Linked DNA regions of Saccharomyces cerevisiae S288C. The gene in region 2 interacts genetically with the main gene of each other region. Each region holds a gene or a part of one and is shown on either strand. Other genes may lie near its edges.

Region 1 (3,760 bases), on a different chromosome or scaffold from region 2:
TTTAACTTTTAGAAGCCTTGCTAGGATTTTTTCAAAGGGCTTTTTAGATTTGGTGAATTTGAAGCTTCGTATAATCTCTGTCAAATATAACTCAAACTTAATGATAAAAACCAAGGTATGGGTAAATTTCAATGGAGCGGAAGAAGCAAAGTACTCAATTGATTGCTCGAAAGTTCTTAACGTCTCTTCTACCGTGTTTATTAGACGAAAATCGGATTCACTAAGTGATTCATTTTCTAAATGAGAGTTGATAGACTTGAAGAAAGGAACTAAGTTTGCAAATTTTTCTAAGATACTCTTCAAAGCTGAAAATCTATCGCAGTTACAGGAAAGGATTGAAGTAAGTTCATTGCAGTTAGGTTGTGTATAATTTTGGCAGTATAATAGGAAATCCGATTTTAGGGAGTCGTTTAAGTTAACTTCTTCTATCAAACAGCATATTTTGCCGAGAATAGTAGATGATAAATCAATATGGGAAAAATCTATTAATGAGTCTAACAAAGAGCCTCCTGAATGATTTTCTTTGGCCACAGAAAAGGAAGACAGCATTGATTCAGTAGGAACATTAAACAACGGCTGTAAAAAACAATGAAGTAATTCAGATACTATGCAAGTATGGTACTTTATCTCCCTCACACTCCCGCTATGGAAAGTAAAATTATGACTGTTTCTATTCTCTAGTACCATTGTATAATGGCTTTGAGGCAAAGTTATAGAAATCACCGATTTTTGTAAGCCAGGGTATTTCGAATACAAATTGTTGAGCTGTTCCTGCCAGACACTAATATCTATATCCGTTGTTTTACGTACAAAAATAGATAATGGTAAACCCTTCGAAACTTTGTTGGTATTATCGAACAGTTGCAAAGAAAATAATGATCTTTTTCCAGCCAGTTCTGTAAAATTTACAGAAATAAGATGGGATAAGTCCAAGTTAGACAATTGTGCCCGAATTTCCCTAGAATATTTCAAGTAAAGAGGTTGATTTGATTCCTTACTATCGGATAAATGGATAGTAAAGGGTAATTGTGTATCATTCCTTGATATAGACCTTCTGATCAACTCATCAATTGATTTTGACAACCCTATAATTGACTCCTCTATTATATTGGTAGTTAAAGGAGGGATCCTATGAAATTTTGATAAAAGAGATTTAAAGGACACATTCTCAAAGAAGTTCAGCGGTAAATTTTCTGAGGCTATGACTATGGCTACTAATTGGGAAATAGAAAGGTAATTACTGCTCTGTAATTTTCCTATGTCAAAGCATTTGAAACTTTGGTCGGAATTGAAGGTTAACGAATCATAGCCGTGTCTACGTGTAATTTCTGTGCTGGAAGTATTGTTTTTGAGATTGGAGTCTCCTACTGTGAAATTCATGGAATAGAAGTTTTTATTGGCACTTATATTATGCTTTGTTTTCAAGTGAGATCTAAAGGTTTTTGTCAAACTTGCATCGCTTCTTGTTAGTATCTCTCCACAATGTTTACATTTAACTTTCGTTAATTTCTTTTCAATTGCTAGAAAATGGGACCAGAACTTTGCTATATTCTTCTTGAGCATTTGAACCGGAATCCATATATTTAACCCATCATTTATGATTTCGTCTTCCGGATGAATTCTACTTGATAGGATTTTATTGCCGTCTTTTTCTATAAGTTCTATATCCTCAGTATCGTCTTCTTCCTCGTCTTCCTCCTCATGACTAGTAGAGTGAGAAGATGAATGATCAGAATTATTGATGATTTCGTTATCTTCTAAAGTCACCAAATCCCCATGTAAATCATCCAATGCAGTGTTCATATTAATGATTGAGTAGATTGGTACATATGCTATTTCGGAAGACTTTTGTTATTCTATGGTTTATCATCCCTTTATTTATTTTGTGTATTGTTTGCTGATCAAAAGTTGAAAATTTTTCGCCTAAAAAGTAAGATACAAAAGAAAATATTGTCGATGATTATTGCATGAATATATCAGCAAAGAGGAAAGGAAAACCTACTGAGGGACTTACATTTCTGCTGAAATATATAGTAATCTATCATGAGCAATGTGGCTGGGGAATTGAAGAATAGTGAGGGGAAAAAGAAAGGCAGGGGAAATAGGTATCATAACAAGAACAGAGGAAAAAGTAAGAATGAGACGGTAGATCCTAAAAAGAATGAGAATAAGGTTAATAATGCTACTAATGCTACCCACAACAATAGCAAAGGCAGAAGGAATAACAAGAAAAGGAACAGAGAGTATTATAACTATAAAAGAAAGGCTAGATTGGGTAAATCAACCGAGAATGAAGGATTTAAGCTTGTTATTAGATTGCTACCTCCAAATTTGACTGCAGATGAATTTTTTGCCATCTTACGAGATAATAATAACGATGATGGTGATAAGCAAGATATCCAGGGTAAACTCAAGTACAGTGACTGGTGTTTTTTTGAAGGTCATTATTCTAGTAAAGTATTCAAAAACTCGACATATTCTCGGTGCAATTTCTTGTTCGACAACTTATCAGACTTGGAAAAATGCGCAAATTTCATTAAAACTTGTAAATTCATTGATAATAAGGATAATATTACAATTCCAGATATGAAACTGTCGCCCTACGTAAAGAAATTCACTCAAACATCAAAAAAGGATGCCGCGCTAGTAGGAACAATTGAAGAAGACGAAATTTTTAAAACATTTATGAATTCAATGAAACAGCTGAATGAAAATGACGAGTACTCATTCCAAGATTTTAGCGTATTGAAATCTTTAGAAAAAGAATTCTCAAAAAGCATAGAGTTAGAAAATAAAATAGCAGAAAGAACAGAAAGGGTGTTAACAGAGCTGGTTGGAACTGGTGATAAGGTCAAGAATAAGAACAAAAAGAAGAAAAATAAAAACGCCAAAAAGAAATTCAAAGAAGAGGAAGCATCCGCTAAGATACCAAAGAAAAAACGGAACAGAGGCAAGAAGAAGCGTGAAAATCGTGAAAAAAGCACCATTTCTAAGACCAAGAACAGTAATGTGGTTATTATTGAGGAAGCGGGTAAAGAGGTTTTGAAACAAAGGAAGAAGAAAATGCTTTTGCAAGAGAAGTTAAAAATATCAAACTCCTCTCAGCCTCAGTCATCATCCGCTCAAACCCAGCCGTCGTTCCAACCTAAAGAAAACCTTTTCGTACCACGGGTAAAAATTTTGCATCGTGATGATACCAAGAAGTAGTAAAAGCTCATGGCTTCTTATATATTATATATGGAATACATTTATAATAAAATAATAAGAATTATATATTTTATGATTATATTATTACATAAAGTATTCCCCATTATAAATTCTGAGTTTCGTATTTAATGATTTTTCAATGAATATTTAAAATAATAAAATATATGAAATGTTCATATACAATGAAATTGTCATGAAGAAAGATGACTCCAAGTATCGTTTATAAATCGTCGAGAAAAAGATTATGAAGTTGGTTAACTTTTTAAAAAAGCTGCGCAATGAGCAGGTTACCATAGAACTAAAAAACGGTACCACCGTTTGGGGTACACTGCAGTCGGTATCACCACAAATGAATGCTATCTTAACTGACGTGAAGTTGACCCTACCACAACCCCGACTAAATAAATTGAACAGTAATGGTATTGCGATGGCTAGTCTGTACTTGACTGGAGGACAGCAACCTACTGCAAGTGACAACATAGCAAGTTTGCAATACATAAACATTAGAGGCAATACCATAAGACAGATAATCTTACCTGATTCCTTGAACCTG
Region 2 (3,760 bases):
TGTTGCCTGCGCACGATATGAGTCTTCTCATTACAATTAGCTTATTATTGAAGGTTTTTGATTCTAAGCAAACTAAGGACAATATTAAATTTTTTTGCATGCTTAGCACAAGCTGCTCCTCATTGGTAAAGTTTATAGTTTCATCCTTGGCTACAATAGTTTCAAGACATGTTGACAGATTTAATAGCAATTCACAATTAACGTCCTCCTCATCATCTTCTTCCTCTTTTTCGATGTACTCTTGATTTCCTTGGCCAGCGAACTTCTGAGTTTCAGTATTTGAATATGCTTCGACTGCTCCATCTTCCATTGCCTGCAATTCTTTATTTTGCACATTTGAAGAGATTTTTTTGATGTACTGGCTTAAGAAAAAGAGATCGCTTATTTGAACATTTGAGTAATTGACTTTTAAAATATCGTTCAATAAATCTGAACCTAAAACAACTTTTTCGGGAGATGACAAATAGCTATATTGTGTGGTTTTCAACAAAACAAATAATGGACCTCTAATGAAGGGAGCCAAATTTTCTGTATACTTGAGATTTCCAATGCAAAAATTCCTTAGTAGCACAACTGACCGCATCTGTAATTTATCCACTAAGCTATCCTCACTCTTGTCAGAAGAAATTTCGTCCAGCTGAAGAACCCCGCCTATATAATAATTAAGAAGCTTTTTACCTCCAGAATCCAAGAGAATTTCCCGATTATCATCATTATCAATTATTGCGTTAGCGATACATCTAATCACTTCAGAACTGATCTCATAAAACGCTATTTTATCATTAATTGAAATGCTCGTATCATGAAAGCAGATATCAAGCGCTTGTTCTAATACTCTTACTAGGTTCAGTAGCAGCCCAGTTTTACCAACAATATCTCTATTACTTGGTTCTCTCAACGAAACAGCCAATTGGTCCATTACCGCTAGGTAGCTTCCTAAGTAGACATCGTTCATCGGAACATCCTTTATTGAAGACGCATTGAGGATCGGTTGCAGACCAAATAAAATTTCTTCGTAATCCATTTAGTAGGACAGTTATTTTCACTTGAAACCACAATCTTTTGGGGCTGAAATATAGATGAGGTGATTTGTTATTCGCGGTTAGTTTTAGTTCGCGAGTGACCTGCTTACGTTGTCTTCAGCCATTTTACGTTGCTTGGCTTGCCGCCGGCGGGTAATATGATCTTATTTTGACATGGTTAAAGAAAAATACTTTTGACTAAGTACCTTTATCACAAGAAAGTTTAGGAAGGGATTCACTATTTGAAGATCAGACAAATGAGTATACGATATTGGCTCAATATTTTAGCCGAGTTTGCTTAAACTTAGTGGCAGAACTTTAGTCATGGGAAGACAAGAACGATCTTACGAGGCCCTTAGGACCTCGGCGGCTAACAGTAAAACTGGTAACTGACGGACAAGGAATATCAAGGTCATATTTTGAAAAGGTCTTTTTGGGTGACTACTTGGGTAAGAAATAATTAGACGAAGTTTCTTTCTGATGTGTATTGAACTAGTGCTCGTGCTTACATACACATCGCCCATTATTGCCTATAGTTATCCTCACTTTATACGAGGTCTGGCCGTTAACGGTTCTTTTACATTGAAAAACTAAATCAGTCACCCACGCAAATAATGAAAAAAAAAAAAAAATCAAAAGCGAAAAGAAACCTAACGCATATTCTATTCAAACGTTGAATGATTGTATTATTATAAATCATAATCACGTAAAGCCACCGAAATTTTTTTCCAGAGTGAAGAATATAAAAAAAATATCTTTAACCAGTCTATAATGTCTTCTGGTTTGGTCTTAGAAAACACGGCACGTAGAGATGCGTTAATCGCCATCGAAAAGAAGTACCAAAAAATATGGGCTGAAGAGCACCAATTTGAAATCGATGCGCCATCAATCGAAGATGAGCCCATTACAATGGACTCTGAAGAGTTACATCGCACGTATCCTAAATTCATGTCGTCTATGGCCTATCCTTATATGAACGGTGTTATGCACGCCGGCCATTGTTTTACTCTCTCCAAAGTCGAATTTTCTATTGGTTTTGAAAGGATGAACGGTAAAAGAGCTTTGTTTCCATTGGGTTTTCACTGTACAGGTATGCCAATCTTAGCATGTGCCGATAAACTAAAGAGGGAAGCCGAACTTTTTGGCAAGAACTTCGACAATGTACCAGCAGAAGAAGAAGAAATTAAAGAAGAAACGCCGGCTGAGAAAGACCACGAGGATGTTACCAAATTCAAAGCTAAAAAATCTAAAGCCGCAGCCAAGAAGGGCCGTGGTAAGTACCAATTCGAAATCATGTTACAGCTTGGTATCCCTAGAGAAGAAATCATTAAGTTCGCCGACGCCAAGTACTGGTTGACCTATTTCCCACCTTTGTGTGAAAGTGATTGTACTTCACTTGGGGCTCGTATCGATTGGAGACGTTCTTTTGTCACCACTGATGCCAATCCTTATTACGATGCCTTTATTAGATGGCAAATGAACAAGTTAAAGGCTGCTGGTAAAATCAAATTCGGTGAACGTTATACTATTTACTCTGAAAAAGATGGTCAAGCTTGTATGGATCACGATAGACAATCCGGTGAAGGTGTTACACCACAAGAATATATTGGTGTGAAAATTGAAGCTTTAGAGTTCGCCGATGATGCCGCAAAAATCATTGATTCAAGCTCAGATCTTGACAAATCCAAAAAATTCTACTTTGTCGCTGCCACGTTGAGACCGGAAACTATGTATGGACAAACATGTTGTTTTGTTTCTCCAACAATTGAGTATGGTATATTTGACGCTGGTGATTCTTATTTTATCACTACTGAACGTGCATTCAAGAACATGTCTTACCAAAAGCTAACACCAAAGAGAGGCTTCTACAAGCCGATAGTTACTGTCCCAGGTAAGGCATTTATCGGTACCAAGATTCATGCCCCACAATCTGTATATCCAGAACTAAGAATATTGCCTATGGAAACTGTCATTGCTACCAAGGGTACTGGTGTCGTCACGTGTGTACCATCTAATTCACCAGATGACTACATTACCACCAAGGACTTGTTGCACAAACCTGAATACTACGGCATTAAACCTGAATGGATTGACCATGAAATTGTTCCAATTATGCATACCGAAAAGTATGGTGATTTAACTGCAAAGGCTATTGTTGAAGAAAAAAAAATTCAATCTCCAAAGGATAAGAACTTGTTAGCAGAAGCCAAGAAAATTGCTTACAAGGAAGATTACTACACTGGTACCATGATATATGGTCCTTATAAAGGTGAGAAGGTCGAACAAGCCAAAAACAAGGTTAAGGCTGATATGATTGCCGCCGGTGAAGCTTTCGTCTACAACGAACCAGAATCTCAGGTCATGTCACGTTCTGGTGATGACTGTATCGTTTCTTTGGAAGATCAATGGTACGTTGATTACGGTGAAGAAAGTTGGAAGAAACAAGCAATTGAATGTTTGGAAGGGATGCAATTATTTGCTCCTGAGGTAAAAAACGCATTTGAAGGTGTTTTGGATTGGTTGAAAAACTGGGCTGTTTGCCGTACATACGGGTTAGGTACCAGATTGCCTTGGGATGAAAAATACTTAGTTGAGTCTTTATCAGACTCTACTATTTATCAATCATTTTATACCATTGCTCACTTACTATTTAAGGATTATTATGGTAACGAAATTGGACCATTAGGCATTTCAGCTGATCAAATGACAGATGAGGTTTTCGATTACATTTTCCAACA

Evidence for each region.
Region 1: mutations in CDC60 (region 2) and UPF3 together harm fitness less than expected from each alone (positive genetic interaction), as found in Saccharomyces cerevisiae (2 studies listed by BioGRID).

Annotation. Positions count from the first base shown.
Region 1 is NC_001139.9:632,261-636,020, forward strand, and holds UPF3 (Upf3p), read left to right. Parts: upstream 1-2,043; coding exon 2,044-3,207; downstream 3,208-3,760. Other genes in the region: ENV11 (Env11p), read right to left, coding at 1-1,803; mRNA splicing protein SMD1, read left to right, coding at 3,452-3,760. UniProt on the Saccharomyces cerevisiae protein: Involved in nonsense-mediated decay of mRNAs containing premature stop codons.
Region 2 is NC_001148.4:245,197-248,956, forward strand, and holds the start of CDC60 (leucine--tRNA ligase CDC60), read left to right. Parts: upstream 1-1,793; coding exon 1,794-3,760. Other genes in the region: BEM4 (Bem4p), read right to left, coding at 1-1,024.